Xenopus tropicalis: one gene and its partner. The protein of the gene in region 2 purifies or fractionates together with the protein of the main gene of each other region. This does not show direct contact. Links are inferred from orthologs where the notes say so. Each region holds a gene or a part of one and is shown on either strand. Other genes may lie near its edges.

Region 1 (8,693 bases), on a different chromosome or scaffold from region 2:
TATGGTATAACAAAGTAGAAACATTTACAGTGGAACTATCATGTTTAATCCTGTGTACACCCTCAGCTCATGGGCTGCTTCCATATAAATAGGTTCACACATCTCTCACCAAAATGAAAGGTTTTAAAGTAATAAAAATACAATGTACTGCTACACTGCCCTGGTAACAGTTGTATTTTTGCTTCAGAAACACTACTATAGTTTATATAAATAAGATGCTGTTTAGCCACATTGGCAGCCATTTGAGCTGGAAAAAGGATATATAAGGTTATATAACAGATAACTGTTTTTTTTATTTGTTATCTGATATCTAACCTATGCCATGTAGCCCCATTTCAATGGGAATGACAGATCCTATGACTACACAGCAGCTTTGTTTATATAAAATGATAATAGTGTTTCTGAACAGAATACACAACTTTTACCAGTGAAGTAGTGCAACAGTATATATATATATATTTGAATTACCTAGATACGTATTCATTTTGGTGTTACTGTTGCTTTAACTTCTCAGCTAATGTCACAGTGGTTGTTCTGTGTTTCTACAATAAAAGCCGTTGTAACAAAATGCTAAGACAAATCTGCCAATATAACTATCTATGAACATGAAGAATAAACCGCTGATGCAATTTGACCACTTTTAAATACTTTAGTTCCTTCCTACTACATTGTCAATGCCCAGCAAAACATGAACACCTTTGTTATTGCTCAAGATGTTTGAGCACAGAAAACACTAATTTATTGGCAACCAACTGAAATGACTAACCCTAACTAAGATACTTCCACAGTTTTCCAAAAGTAACAGGAGACCCCCTTTAAGGGCTGTGGCAGCCAGGGAGACTAGTCGCCTGCTACAAATTGTTTTCGGATCCATTTAATATAATGCTTCTAAATTGGTTTATTTATCCAGTCATCAATACTTTTGTAAAGACTGTCAAACTTGCTCCCCCCTAGCCGTTGCACACATAGAACTTTGTCAGACAATTTTATAAAGTTTTCTACAACAGCTCACAATTTAATGAGCCATTCAACCCATAGAAATAAAAATTATGAATTATAGCTCGTAATGTAAGATGTGCTTACCTGTGGGTTGCCTGCGATTAAGAATGGGATACAATAAACATTAAATATAAGGGGTATTTTCCTTTTTTTTTTCCCTAGTATTATTTCAAACATTATTCCCAAAGTATTTGCTCAATTCTAGGTATCATAGTCCACAGTAGCTACAATGGAATGATCTCCTTGCTCCCATAATAACCTGTCTTAGCTTGTGCTTGATATCTTCAAGACCTCCAATATGCTCCCAATGAACTGGCTTAAACTCCACCCGACCAATTGAGCTTCGTGCGGAAGAGGGTCGAATCCTTTTAAATGCTTCATAAAAATGTGCTCTGCTCACTAAATTACACAGACTGTCCTGAAAGGCAAGGAAACAATGTTAGGATTCTAATGCTACCAAGGGTTAGAGTTATATTTCAATAACAGAAAACAAGAAGCACAATGCTTTAAATGAGTGTTGGCTTACATTACCTATAATATAGGACATTTGATCTGAATATAAGGCTCTGGATTCTGCTCAGGTAGTAAATGATTTTACTTCTAATTACAATAAATCTACTACAACATCTTACCAAACTGGCCTGAAGTACAGCCTGCATAGCTGCATCTCTGCACAGGGCAGTGAGATCGGCACCAACATATCCCACTGTCACATCTGCCAAGGCTGCCGCATCTACATCTCTATCAGTGGGCATGTTTGATATCATCATTTCCAGAATAGCTTGCCGTTGCTTATGAGTAGGAGTTCCAATGATTACCTTAAAAATATCAGAAAAACAGATGTTCATGATACCATCAAAGACTTTTGCATTATATAATAGAAAGAGGTCAGATGATTAATTTGGCAATAACATTTGCTCATGCTGTTCAGCTCTCAGCATTTTACTGTGTGAAATAATTCACTAATAATACATTATGTATTACTCCTCCCCAATTTAATTCATGTTTGAGCAGTTACATTCATAATTGATATCCCAATAGAAAAACCTTGCACTACAGTTTAAATACAGGGTGCTCAGTATGTATATTTGGAGTAAAGTAAATAGTGTTAAAGACACAAAAAGAAACTGGCACACCTGTTAGATTCAATAAAATATAACCATTCCTATTATCTTAAAATAAACATAGCTAAAAAAAGATAGAAAAGATAAGAAGGAAAGTTAAAAAATCGAATTCACACCCTGAATCTCAATCAAATGTAACTGACTCACTCGTGGATACTATTACTTAAATTGTTTCTTTAGTATCACCAATGACTTGTGTTGGCAACATATGTAACAACTCTTACTGTGGGTGCGTTAGTTATGCACATGTTACATATGTTGCCAACACAAGTCATTGGTGATACTAAAGAAACAATTTAAGTAATAGTATCCACGAGTGAGTCAGTTACATTTGATTGAGATTCAGGGTGTGAATTCGATTTTTTAACTTTCCTTCTTATCTTTTCTATCTTTTTTTAGCGATGTTTATTTTAAGATAATAGGAATAAAGGCTTTTGTGTCTTTAACACTATTTACTTTACATTCATAATTGATATCACATACTATCCAATAGACAACTTTTAGTGATAGAAATAGGCATTAATTGTGGTATGCTTAAAGGACAAGGAAAGTCAAAATCTATTAAGCACACTATTAAATAGTACTACTATTGCTGTGTAAAAATGCTATATTTCTGGCTTGCCTAATGAAAGATTTACAGAGATACATTTACTAGAACCTACACACTTGTTTCAGTGAACGGCGCCGCCATCTTGTCCAGCATGTCACAGAGTGTCCTGCCACATCCCCCCCCCCCCAGCATGTCACAGATCAACACACAGAGCTTCCACTGCCGGCAGCACCCCCCCCCCTTCCCCCGCTGCTGCCACCGCTCGGCACTGTCACGAGGAGAAACAGATCGACACTGCTGGCAGCACCCCCCGACCCCCCCCACCCCGCTCGGCATTGTCAGGAGGAGAAACAGATCAACACTGCCAGCAGCAACCCCCCCCCGCCCCTGCCGCCGCCGCTCGGCACTAGGAGGAAAAGATACAGATGGAATACAGCATGTGCCATACAGCACTGTTACATACAGCACTCACCCACCAACCTTCCGCTTCGCTCCAAGCTCCTGCCACAAACCGTCCTTCGCTCCCCACACCTGTCCCTGCCCCCGCTCCCCTCCACAGCGTTCACCACCGCCATGGCGACCAGACGCTCCTGCTGTGTGCGCATGCGCCGCCTACAGTAGAAAGTCTAGGAAAGGAGCGATGCATTATGGGAATCTTCTCTACCCTGCTCAGCGTTTTATTTTCCTGTTTGGCTTCTGATCTTCTGAACAGATGAAGTATGGGGAGACTTAAGGGCACTATTGAGACAACTGAAGGTATGCCTGCAGCTTGAGATTAACTCTTTATTAGCCTTTCCTTCTCCTTTAAGTGATAATTCTAACATTAATAAAGCAACTTAAGTAGTGTGACTTTTCTAACAGGCAAAAACATATATGTAAGCCAAAAAATGATTGGTTGCAGATTAGCATTTTTTTCAAATGGATGCTCAAATGCAATAAATAAACAAAAAAAACTATACCCCTGAACAATGTAGGTCTCTGTAAAATTATAGTGCATATAATAGCCCATATGTAAAACACTGCTTAATTTTAATAAAAACATCCTTTTCTAGCAGTATTTGCCACTGAATAAACCTAAGTAGAAATTGACATTTGTTAATGCTAAGGACCTTCCCCCTGGCTCATACAATTCACTGGGTCACAAAAACACCAAGGGCATACATGCTAGAGACGCTAGGTTATGCTGGGGACCGAAACGTTACGTCGGCTGTTTATGCTACTTTAAATATATGTTTTGATTTTTTCACAAGAAATCCCAGAGTTGCTGGTCTTTTTTATTTTCTCTCTCTCCCTCTCTCTCGTAAGTAAAACAGACAATAGCAGAGGTAACCCAAGTATATATATATATATATTACAAAGAGAATAGCTTAGGCTACTGAGGTTACATGCTAAATACATATAATGATGTCTTTTTGAAATGTGGTGAAGTCCCAGGTCTTATCCTACTCATGAGATCTCTCACATTATCTGTCAGATGCCAACAGCTTATTTTGTGGGGCTGTTAAAGGAGACAAAAGAAAAATTATTTTTATATTTACCTCCCTGTCAAATCTGCCTGGTCTTCTTAATGCTGGATCAATGGCATCAGGCCTGCTTGTTGCAGCTACAGTAACCATCTTATTGTCACTGTCAATACCATCCATTAGAGTTAACAGCTGAGCAACAACGCGGTTTTCGGGAGCACTGTTTGAATGGCCACGTTTAGGACATAAGGCATCAACTTCATCTATAAAGAGCAGAGCTGGGCCACTACATGCAGCTTCTCTTGCTTTTTCAAAAATCTTCCGTAAATTCTCTTCGCTTTCTCCAGGTCTTGAGCCGTGAATTGCGGGACCACTCAGGCCAATTACATACGCCCCGACTTCTCTAGCTACAGCCTTTACCAAAAGGGTCTTTCCAACCCCTGGGGGCCCAATCAAGAGAACACCTTTCGGGCAAGGGAGGCCAAGTTTGTGCATGGTCTCTGGATAATGTAACGGCATATGAATTATTTCCTTTAGTGAGGCACACGTGTCATCCATAGCCGCAACCTTTAATTGAGGGGCCTCCTGTAACTTATGTTTGTACCATTCAAGGGTGATGACTTCTTTAATGACTATGCTTGTTTTGCCTGTAATAAGGCCGGCATTGCTTGTTGCAGGATCTGTATCAAGTATTTCAATGTGAACAACTGGGGAATCTGCATTTACAGATAACACATAATCATTCAGCACAAAAACGTTTCTTAGTAGATCTCTGACAGTCTCAAGGAGTGCTGCTTCTGAGGTAGCCCGCTTCACATCTAGGCTTCTCACTACAACTTTCACTGAGACCTTTCTGAGTTTGGTAGAAGCCATGGATTTTATCTGATTTAAACATATGCCGGTGTCCTTAAATACAGCCATGGGTTTATGTGAAGTCGAGCACATATAATCAGCTTGCACAAAGCCATCGCACAGATCTCTCCTGGGCCAAGCAGTGCACAAGCAGCTTCCACTCTGCAAGGAGACAAGAACCGGGAATCCGACTTTTGCTCCAATCAAAGCCATCGCTTTGGGACCAAGTCTGCATCGTTGTGAGCAATGGTCGTCTGGGTTGGAGGGTAGACATTTTAGAACCGTATCCATCAATGAAGAATCCTGACGATAACATCTAAAAAAAACGTATTAATTATTGAAACATGGTTTCCATGACAAAACACTGTATGCATTAATATTCGGGGGGAGTTCAAACTTCACCCTCTAATACAAGAATATGCACAGTGCCCAAGAATTGCGCTTTACCTAACACACACCGCAAACTCAGAGCGCTACTCCTGCCTTCGGAAAAGTTAACAGCAAGTCTCATGCTTCTGTCAGAAAATCCCGACTGCGCAAGTCTCATCTCGCGAGATTTGGCGTTAAGACTGAAGAGCGGAGACGACGTAACGGCGTTACGCAATTAGAAGTGTCTAGTATGCGGCGTTGAGTCTGCTTACAAAAAAAAATCTTGGTTGCACCTCATAGAGGAAAAAAAAAGAAAGAGCGAAAAAAGAATTTTTGTGTTGGTTGTGCCCTCCGCTATCACAGCTCCCCAAAATTTCTCAGAAGCCTTATAATTTCTGCTCAGCTTCCATCTGTGGCAGGGAACTGAAAACAATACATATTTTCTCTTTTAGTGCAACCAAGGCCCAGGTGAAGTTTTCTTCACCAGGTATTTTGCCATAAAAAAGTCCATGGACTCCAATGGCAGCAAAAATTAGTTTTACAAAGAAAGCCTACTAATTACGATTTGTGTATTTTTGGCAAAACAAAAAAGGTTAGAATTGCCTGTCACTAGTCATCTTTAAAGTGTTTTTGTACTTTAAAGTATAGAGCTGTCAACTCCCCTATTTCTCCCCTGGTCCCCCAGCCAGCAGCATTTTCCCTTCTGGTTTTTCAAGGATTAAAATTTAACAATTCTTGTTTCCACAGCATAAATCAGTGATCCCCATCAGTGGTTCGTGAGCAACATGTTTCTCCCCAGCCCCTTGGATGTTTCTCCCAGTGGCCTCAAAGCAGGTGCTTATTTTTTAATTTCTGGCTTGGAGGCAACTGTTGATTGCATAAAACCCAAACAGAGCCTTCTGCAGGTTGCCAGTCCACATAGGGGCTACCAAATAGCCAATTATAGCTCTTATTTGCACCCCAGGAACTTTTTCCCTGCTTGTGTTGTTCCCCAGCACTTTTTCCATTTGAATGTGACTCACAGATATAAAAGGTTGGGGATCCCTGGCATAAATCCAGGGGTATATTTATCAAAGAGTGAAATTAGAGCTTGCTACAGTCCTCTAGAGTGAAATTCCTCCACTCTAATCATTTCTATGGTATTTTTAAATGCATGTTTATCAAAAGGTGAACTTTCACCTTTATTTATTGATAAATACTCTGAAAAATCCCAAAGAAATAAATGGAAGGTGGCGGAATTTCACTCTGGCAGACTGCAACACGCTCTTTTACTCTTTGATAAATATATCCCCAAGTATTTAAACAAAAGTTGAAAATATTTGCGGAGAACACTGCCAGGTGCAGGCTGCCAGGTAGGCTGAGAAGAAACAGATGAGATATTCTGAGCATTTCCAGTGACATCTATCGTCAGATAAGCTGTTTTTGCCTTATTATGAAAGTGATGTGAACTCCCTGGAAACCAGCTTCCTGCAACAGGAACTATTCAGAGAACCATAAATGTCTCGAGGGGAGTGCATTCCAGGACACGCAAATATGGCGTTCTCCTGAATGTCACTCCATTTTTAGATACAAAAAGATCCTTTCTTTTTCTGTGTTTAGATGGTAGTGTGCATAATACATACCTATTCAGTGTGACAACTCTCAGTCAGAGCAGCAATCAATTTGTTCCAGATGGATTACCTAGGACAGAAAGTATTGTGAAAGCAAAGGCAAATGTTGTAATTAAAACTTATGGAAAAACAGATGTCTGTTGGAAGGTCCAAGGTTTGAAAGATGTTTGTAGGAAGGTTCAACAATGTCACTTGTCAAGAGCAATTTGGTGACAGCCACCATGCAAATTATAGTGAAAAAAATATAAAATAATTGTTCATCATTGTCTTCGGGTCAATAAATCTGGACACTTTAAAGCACATTTATTTAAAATCTTGTCACAATATTTTTTTTCTGATATAATCATGATTTATCTTTATTGTGACATTTGCAATACCAATACCTAATTTATCTGACTCCCTTATTGAAAGGAACAGTAACACCAAAATGAGTGTTTTAAAGTAATTAAAATATAATGTACTGTTGCCTTGCACTAGTAACACTACTATAGTAAATATGATTAAGCTGCTGTGTAGCCATGGGGACAGCCATTCCAGCTGGAAAAAAGGAGAAAAGGCACAGGTCATATAGGCGATAACATAACCTAAGATAACATAGCTTGTGATTCTATTCACTAGAGGGGTGCTTAACATTTTGCAACTCCCCAAAGTAAGTAGGGGGTTTCTTGTCCTTTAATAAATGTGCTCCCTTTTATAGTGTTAAATATTCCACAAGTCTGAATTATCAAATGAGAGACAAATTAGACCATCTTCCATTCAGCCCTGGCCATGCCCAGTTACATCCTGACAAAATTAATGAAAAACAAAAACCACTAAAACACAATTCATAGTGGGTAACTCACCAGTATTATAACGTGGTCTAGATGCTCCAACCCCAGACCCTCAGCTTAGGGGACTGTAAAGATGCAAAAAGGAATAGTTATAATGAAGATCCATAAAACAGGCCATCAAAAAGTAAAAGTGAAAAGAATAACCCTTTATTTATACCACGTAGGCTAAACATGTACAAAACAGGATACACATATTAAGGTACAAGAAAATAAAATATGCTCAAGTCAATAAAAAATATTCTTCTTTCTCATACGTTTATACTCAATGAAGAATTTAATAGAAGTGCACGTGAAGCAAATTCTTGCAATTCTTGGTTATAAATAGGGTACGCTGTTCCTTTAAACAGCACCCATTGGTGCTTCCTCCTTTAAATATTGGGATTGTTTGTACATGTTTAGCCTATGACTAAGTGTCCTGTAGGTATGAAAAGTTTGCCTAACTCATTTTTATGAATTTATATGCATTTTTTAAACACAGATAGTTGTGTTTTTGTCATTTCCAAATGCAACCCTCTATTCTACTAAACCCTGAACATGCGTCAAGCAAATGCAGCATGTTGCTTCTAAAAAAAGTGATGAAATGCGAATGCAGAAAACACAACTAAACACGTGGGAGTACAACATAAAAGAAAATAAACATGTGGGTACAAGCCCTTACACAACAGAATTGGGTTGAATTGCAAAGTACAGCACTGCAGTGAGTAAAATAATTCTCTGTTTAGTAACTGAAGCTCCTCATGGAGCTGAAATAACTTTAACTAAATACTTTCTGTTGTCTCTTACAAGGGTTTGTAGGTATGCGTGCTGTTCCCTGCCATCTCTGTGATATTTCAAAGTTATGAAATGAACTGGCTTATTGTCTTACCATGGCACTCCATTAGCCACTACTAAAACTA
Region 2 (8,593 bases):
TATGTACCCAGCAACTACTTCCATTTACTCATATTCCATAGGAGGAGCAGAAATAACGGTGGACACCAACCTCTTCTGCTGCAGTCACAGAGTAGGCATGGCCCTTCACGAGCTTCTGGAATGTGATGGCTTCTGTCTCCGCTGCACTTGTGATCTGAAAGAATTACAAAAATGCAAACAAATGATATTATTTCGCTTTTGATTGTTGGAGAATGCGCACAGTGATTTGGGATTCTCTAGGCATATATATCAGTTTGGGAAGGGGGTGAGTAATAAGTAATCACTTAAAAATACTATGATTTGGGGGATAAAGACAAAGTAAATACGGTACATGTGGGAGATGTTCATGGGGGTTTAGCGGTACCAGGAATCTGGGCATTAAAGCTATCTTGGGGGGGCCAAATATGGGCTCTAGCAGCAGTTATAGTATGAGGAGTGGATGACATCAGTTATTACAGAGTAAGATGGAAACCACAGGGAAGACGGGGATAGGAACTTGTTATATCAGGGTTGCCACTTTTTCTTATAGTGGCCTTTCTATATTTTTATGTTTTTCCCTATTAATAACATTGGTATCAAGCATCAATTTACCAGCCAGCTGGCAACCTCTGCCTGTGGTACTAGGGACACAAAGGCCTTAACAGATCCCTAGGCAGCCATTTTTGGTACATTAAGTTCAAACCATGGATTCCACCCAGAGCATTATTATTAAGACATGAACGCTAGGGCAAGGAATCCAGACTGAAGGCTTTAGCCATCTATTCCAGGATCTACTGAACACAAAGAATAAAAGAAGTGACACGCACATCTATAGAGCAGCCCAGCAGAGATCCAGTCCTCAGAGCTTTCTGGATAATCTTGAACAGATTGGGTGGGGCCTTCCTCAGTTCATACCACTCTGCAAGTCCACCTGTGAAATCTTCAAACCCTTCGGTGGTGGTCCCACCCGAGAGAGCTTCATAGGATCCGTTCAGTCTACGTGACAGCAAAATACAGGATTAAGGACTGAGTTGGTTGGCCACTGCACCCCCCCAATGTCCAATCAAATATTTCCCTTCATTACAGTAAATGCTCTAGAAAAGTCAATGTTAATTGATAATTGGTTGTTGTGCAGTGGTTCATAATCCATCACAGTGATCTGTACGAAAGCTCTGCTGTGTTGGCTATTCAGTTAGAGCCAAAGGGATATCTATATCATTAAATTTAATCATAGCTAACCTTCAGGATTGACTTCCAGCAAAAGTCCTTTTGTATTGTACTTACTTGGCATAAGCCTTCTCCATGAGTGCGCTCCAGAACTCACTCCCCTCCGCTGAATGCACAAAAAGCAGCTTCCCATCCTTGGTTGGCAGACGATCATCAATGACAACATCCACCCACTCACCGTACTGCCAGAACTGAAAATAAATGAGGTGGAGTAATATTTACAGTCCAGCCACCAGGAGGCGCTGTGTAGAATTCCCTCTCTCCCTTTACTAAATGACCACCAGGAGGCGCTGTGTAGAATACCCTATCTCCCTTCCCTTTACTAAATGACCACCAGGAGGCGCTGTGTAGAATACCCTATCTCCCTTCCCTTTACTAAATGGCCACCAGGAGGCGCTGTGTAGAATTCCCTCTCTCCCTTCCCTTTACTAAATGGCCACCAGGAGGCGCTGTGTAGAATACCCTATCTCCCTTCCCTTTACTAAATGGCCACCAGGAGGCGCTGTGTAGAATTCCCTCTCTCCCTTCCCTTTACTAAATGGCCACCAGGAGGCGCTGTGTAGAATACCCTATCTCCCTTCCCTTTACTAAATGGCCACCAGGAGGCGCTGTGTAGAATTCCCTCTCTCCCTTTACTAAATGACCACCAGGAGGCGCTGTGTAGAATTCCCTCTCTCCCTTCCCTTTACTAAATGGCCACCAGGAGGCGCTGTGTAGAATACCCTATCTCCCTTCCCTTTACTAAATGGCCACCAGGAGGCGCTGTGTAGAATTCCCTCTCTCCCTTCCCTTTACTAAATGGCCACCAGGAGGCGCTGTGTAGAATACCCTATCTCCCTTCCCTTTACTAAATGGCCACCAGGAGGCGCTGTGTAGAATTCCCTCTCTCCCTTTACTAAATGACCACCAGGAGGCGCTGTGTAGAATTCCCTCTCTCCCTTCCCTTTACTAAATGGCCACCAGGAGGCGCTGTGTAGAATACCCTCTCTCCCTTCCCTTTACTAAATGGCCACCAGGAGGCGCTGTGTAGAATACCCTCTGTCCCTTCCATTTACTAAATGGCCACCAGGAGGCGCTGTGTAGAATTCCCTCTCTCCCTTCCCTTTACTAAATGGCCACCAGGAGGCGCTGTGTAGAATACCCTCTGTCCCTTCCATTTACTAAATGGCCACCAGGAGGCGCTGTGTAGAATTCCCTCTCTCCCTTCCCTTTACTAAATGGCCACCAGGAGGCGCTGTGTAGAATACCCTCTCTCCCTTCCCTTTACTAAATAGCCACCAGGAGGCGCTGTGTAGAATACACTCTCTCCCTTCTCTTTACTAAATAGCCACCAGGAGGCGCTGTGTAGAATACCCTCTCTCCCTTGCCTTTACTAAATAGCCACCAGGAGGCGCTGTGTAGAATTCCCTCTCTCCCTTCCCTTTACTAAAAGGAGATCTTCGGCACCCAATTGTTCCAATCACAACACACACACAGAACCCAATCAGCCACGTCTCTTTGCATGAAAACAACAATGAACTGATTTCCCTGCTGAATTTCCATTGCAAATGAATAGGTCCAGCCGGTGGATTCCCCCCAAAGATATGAAATTTTGGAGGCAGAACAATTACCTGGAAGTGGAATATTCCGGCATAGTTCTCTTGGAAGCTCTGATCCTTTGGAACAACCCGGGACAGAATCTGCTCATTCAGGGTGAGGGAGGCAATGGCCGCAAGTAACCAGCAGTCACCTGGGGAAACACAGAGGGAGTCAGTGTCTGTGGGGCTGTGTGTGTACTCAGTCTGCTCGGCTGGAACTCAGCAATGGGCTGGGGGGGGGGGGGGGGCATCATGGGATTTTCCTGTATACGGTTATGGCAGGAATAAACAGTCTCAGGCAGTTTTCCATAAAACAAATCTGAAAAATATTCTGTCCTACTGGGAAGCTGCAAATGTGCTTTGCTCTGCAATAATATGGCATAAATGCACCGACTTCATGCCATCCGCAGGGTATTTCCAGATAACAAATCCTATACCTGTATACACAGGGATCAGCAAACAGGTATAGGATTCGTTAACCCATTATCCAAAAAGCTCTGAATTACAGGAAGGCCGTCTCCCACAGACTTAATTTTAATCAAATAATTCACATTTTTAAATTTGATTTCCTTGTACTTGATCCCAACTAAGATATAATTACCCCTTATTGGGGCAGAACAGCCCTATTGGGTTTATTTAATGGTTAAATGATTCCCTTTTCTCTGTAATAATAAAACAGTACCTGTACTTGATCCCAACTAAGATATAATTACCCCTTATTGGGGCAGAACAGCCCTATTGGGTTTATTTAATGGTTAAATGATTCCCTTTTCTCTGTAATAATAAAACAGTACCTGTACTTGATCCCAACTAAGATATAATTACCCCTTATTGGGGCAGAACAGCCCTATTGGGTTTATTTAATGGTTAAATGATTCCCTTTTCTCTGTAATAATAAAACAGTACCTGTACTTGATCCCAACTAAGATATAATTACCCCTTATTGGGGCAGAACAGCCCTATTGGGTTTATTTCATGGTTAAATGATTCCCTTTTCTCTGTAATAATAAAACAGTACCTGTACTTGATCCCAACTAAGATATAATTACCCCTTATTGGGGCAGAACAGCCCTATTGGGTTTATTTCATGGTTAAATGATTCCTTTTTCTCTGTAATAATAAAACAGTACCTGTACTTGATCCCAACTAAGATATAATTACCCCTTATTGGGGCAGAACAGCCCTATTGGGTTTATTTAATGGTTAAATGATTCCATGGTAACTCTGGTTTGATTGAAAGGGAAAACTCTATATTAAAGGGCACATATACCATCCCACCATGATTTTTGGGGGGGGGGGGGGTCTGTGTAGGAATTAACCCCTAAACTCCTTCTCTGTAGGGATCCTCAGTATCTACAGAAGGTCTTAAAAGGCTATAATGCATTTTGCTCAGCTGAAGGCGCCAGATCCCCTTTGGCTCCCAATATTCGCGTGAGTGATGCCTGGAACTTTAAGCCCAGAGGCGTTTGCAGTCTGATATCCATTAAGTATTTGTGCACAAACCCACACCCACACCTACACCCACACCTACACCGGGCTCGATCCCATCACCTGCAGTGTGGGAGGAAACCTGAGCACCCAAGGGACCGGGGCCATTTGTAACCCAATACTAAAAATAAAGCTGCTCTGAGCCTGGGAGTGGCCCTGTGGGGCAGGTGGGGGCCTACAATTACCAGTTCTTCACATAACAAATAATAATGACATTATTACCCTGAGCCATTCCAACAAAGACCAATTATATCTCTTTATTGCTCCCTTTTAAAGGATCAATAGACGACTAACAACAAAAAAATGCTACAGGATTGTTCAGCCATTAACATGGATTTAAGCGGCTTATTTACCCTTGAGTACAAGGTACTGGCCCGACTCGCATTGTTACAGAGAGAAGGAAATGGGTCACAAACGGAGAGAGGTTGTGGGGAGACAATGGCACTTTATGGTGCTGAAGATTCTACTAGGGGTGAAATGAAAGGGTTAAATAGGACACAATAAGTAAAGACACTGTCGTATTTTGGAGCTTTCTGGATAATGGATTTCTGAATCATATCTCCTGCATCCCTTCACTTGTTGTCCCCAGTCACCTGGAATGTATACTCAGTCACAGTCTGTGTCTCGGGTTTTGAGATAAGGAGGGGTTCATTATCTAGATGCATTATCTATAGCAGTGATTCATTAGACCAAGTCTTTAGGAGATGAAGCGTCCAATGACGTGAAACTTATTTGGAGGGAGGAGCCATACACAGGCCGATTGTAGCTGCTGATATCGGTCCCTAAAGGTCCCCATACACGGGCCAACTCTAGCTGCTATCGGTCCCTAAAGGTCCCCATACACGGGCCAACTCTAGCTGCTATCGGTCCCTAAAGGTCCCCATACACGGGCCAACTCTAGCTGCTGATATCGGTCCCTAAAGGTCCCCATACACGGGTTGATTTTAGCTGTTGATATTGGTCCCTAAAGGTCCCCATACACGGGTTGATTTTAGCTGTTGATATTGGTCCCTAAAGGTCCCCATACACGGGTTGATTTTAGCTGTTGATATTGGTCCCTAAAGGTCCCCATACACGGGCCGATTCTAGCTGCTGCTATCGGTCCCTAAAGGTCCCCATACACGGGCCGATTCTAGCTGCTGCTATCGGTCCCTAAAGGTCCCCATACACGGGCCGATTCTAGCTGCTGATATCGGTCCCTAAAGGTCCCCATACACGGGCCGATTCTAGCTGCTGCTATCGGTCCCTAAAGGTCCCCATACACGGGCCGATTCTAGCTGCTGATATCGGTCCCTAAAGGTCCCTATACACAGGCCGATTCTAGCTGCTGATATCGGTCCCTAAAGGTCCCCATACATGGGCCAATTCTAGCTGCTGATATTGGTCCCTAAAGGTCCCCATACACGGGCCGATTCTAGCTGCTGATATGGGTCCCTTAGACCAAATCAGCAGCTAGTGCCCGTGTATGGGCACTACCGACGGGCCTGTCTGACCTATATCTAGTCTGAAATCGGCCAGATCTCAATCGGGCAGGTTAGAAAATCTAGTCAGATTGGGACCCCATTGTCTCGTTGATATCCGGATATCGGGTGAAGATCTGCTCGCTTGGCGATCTGGCAATCTCGACCCGACCAACATCTGACCTGAAATTGGGCAGATATCGATCGGGCAGGTTAAAAAATTTAGTCGGATCGGGGACCGCATCAGCTCGTTGATGGGGTCCCCAAACTGACTGCTCCTATTACTGGCGTTCTAATTCGATCGTTTGGCCCCAGGGCCATTAGCCTGAATTCACCCGATATCGCCCACCCGTAGGTGGGGATATCGAGAGAAGATCCGCTCGCTTGGCAACCTCGTGTATGGCCACCTTAAGGTACCTCTGGCCTTTTGAATACATTTATGATTGTTTTGTGCACCAAATAAATATTGTGTGTTACAATAGGGCTTGTCTAGGGGGTGATAATTGAATTTAGGGCTGACTCCATACAACACAACCACAAAAATAAGGATCTTTTGTTTGTGCTTTGGGACAGAAATTCACAGCATTCTTTGTTTTGTTTCTGTGCATATGGAATGATCACTCCAACGTTATGTCATTACACTAATTGGTACAAGGGAAACAAGGCACTCTCCAAGCACAGTTTCTCCTTGGTGTCCTGCCAAAGGCAGCTGATAGTACTAAAGGCAAAGCACCGGGAATGGCAAAACCTCAAAGGAATGTTAATGAAAACATTACATGGCACTAATACACTATGATGGCGCAGCACTGCGACTCCCAGAGGGGGTTAGAATGCAGACTGTACTGCAGCAGCAGTGATGGGGGGGAGATATAGAGCAGGCTGGGGGCTGTGCCATGCACTGCAGGGGTCAATGCTAAGGAAAGGAAGATACTAGGGAGGCTAGGGTGTGTGCCCTGTAATGATGGGAGCAATACTAAGGATATCCTGAGGGTAAGAACCCATGGAGCAGTTCAGTCGCCCGTGATAGATCTCAACAAAACAACGCAAAGGGCTTTCCACCGGCGCCTCCTATTGTTGCCGGTGGAAAACCATTTCAGAGTGGTTAGTTGCCAGCAATAACAGAGATCTATTGGGGGCGACTGAACCGCTCCGTGGGTTCTTGACCTAAAGGAGGCCATACAGGGACAGGTTTCAGCTGATGATTTGGGTCCTCCAGACTGATTCGGTAGCTTATCTGCCCGTGTATAGGAAGCCCCGATGGGCCTACTTGATCAATATCTGGAGGAAAATTGGGCAAATCTCAATCAGGATTCAGGCAGGTTTGATTTTCCGCGTCAAGGAGCTGATATGGTCGGTCCTTGGTCTGTCGGCCCATATACCCGCTGTGTTAATTTGACTGTAAGTGGGCATATCAGGAGACAATCCGCTTGTTTGGTGACTTTGCCAAATGAGCGGATGGCCACCTTCAGAATCAGAAATCAGGTTGGTGTAAGCTTCACCAATCTTCTACAACCATTTGCATGCAGAGGGACAATGGTCCACTACCGCCACTACCACTATGTTTGGGCAAGAAAAGAAATTATTAAACCATACAAAAAGCTGTACCTGTAGCAGGTTGGGGACCACAAATATCTTAGTGCATTTGGTAGCCCTCCAGTTGGGGAGCTATGAGTGCTTTAATAATGGTTATGACACACAGTGAGATACGCAATCTCCTTCATGTGTATAAATACCCTGCAGTGTAGTGACCCAGGCGCTGACCTGCAACTAGTGGGACCTGAAAGTTTACCCTTACTTGGGTTAGGGTTGGAATTTAGGTGACCATTGTGGGTCAGGCTTGGGGGTGGGTCAGACTGGGGAAGTACACTCTTCTGCTCCCAAAGTTTCCCTGTCTTGGAACCTAAGGTGTGCGCAGAAGTAGCCCATAAAGGGAAAGATGCAAGTACAGGTTGGGTGCGGGTCCTACAATTGCAACATTTTGCATTTTATCCTGACCCAAGCATACAACTGCAGCAGATGGTGTGCTGGCTGCTATAATCCAGGCTGTGTGAGTGCTCTGCTTTCCTACTGCGGAAGTGAAGGGAACCCAGGAGATTCATTACTTGAACCAAAGCCATGAATCAATGCTGAGAAACAGGATAATAACGTTTCTGCCAAGTTACCTGTAAATACAGACACACCCAGTGGCATCTGGAGAAGAGCTCTGTATTGGTTTTTCCCAGCTAGGACAACTAAAGCCTAAAAACAATCATTGCTGAATTTTATATCCTGTCCTTATGGTGCCAGCCCAGAGGTTCAGCAGCCGCATAACAGTAATGATCAAGGCCTTTAAATCTGCCCCCAGCAGCTCCCCATCTTGGACCTTGTTAGGCCCTCTATTGTGTGTCAGTGGCACTGCACGTGCTCAGTGGGCTCTGGGCTACTGCTGAGAAGCTTAGGGGGCGGGGAAATCATCAAGCAGGAAATGAGGTTCATCTGTCACAGAAGATGATACAGGGCTCAGTGCACTGGTTTCTATGGTGCCATGTAATTTGAATCTGAATGAATCATTCATTTGTAATTTGACTTGTGTTGTGAGCGTTATATTGTATATATACCGTATAGCGGGCCCGTTATAGTGTGTATATACCGTATAGTGGGCCCGTTATAGTGTGTATATACTGTATAGTGGGCCCGTTATAGTGTATATATACTGTATAGCGGGCCCGTTATAGTGTATATATACTATATAGTGGGTCCGTTATAGTGTATATATACTGTATAGCGTGCCCGTTATAGTGTATATATACTGTATAGTGTGCCCGTTATAGTGTATATATACTGTATAGTGTGCCCGTTATAGTGTATATATACTGTATAGTG

What was found.
Region 1: the proteins of capn2 (region 2) and spata5l1 purify together in Homo sapiens (co-immunoprecipitation; 3 studies listed by BioGRID and IntAct, with this or other methods). This does not show direct contact. The link is inferred for Xenopus tropicalis from reciprocal best matches to the Homo sapiens genes CAPN2 and AFG2B.

What each region holds. Positions count from the first base shown.
Region 1 is NC_030679.2:104,566,744-104,575,436, reverse strand, and holds the start of spata5l1 (spermatogenesis-associated protein 5-like protein 1), read right to left. Parts: upstream 5,447-8,693; 5' UTR 5,436-5,446; intron 5,305-5,435; coding exon of another isoform or gene 5,280-5,304; coding exon 4,212-5,279; intron 1,818-4,211; coding exon 1,632-1,817; intron 1,418-1,631; coding exon 1,259-1,417; intron 1-1,258. UniProt on the Homo sapiens protein: ATP-dependent chaperone part of the 55LCC heterohexameric ATPase complex which is chromatin-associated and promotes replisome proteostasis to maintain replication fork progression and genome stability.
Region 2 is NC_030681.2:9,039,530-9,048,122, forward strand, and holds part of capn2 (calpain-2 catalytic subunit), read right to left. Parts: intron 4,474-8,593; exon of another isoform or gene 4,460-4,473; intron 2,936-4,459; coding exon 2,817-2,935; intron 1,398-2,816; coding exon 1,264-1,397; intron 976-1,263; coding exon 807-975; intron 155-806; coding exon 71-154; intron 1-70. UniProt on the Homo sapiens protein: Calcium-regulated non-lysosomal thiol-protease which catalyzes limited proteolysis of substrates involved in cytoskeletal remodeling and signal transduction. Proteolytically cleaves MYOC at 'Arg-226'.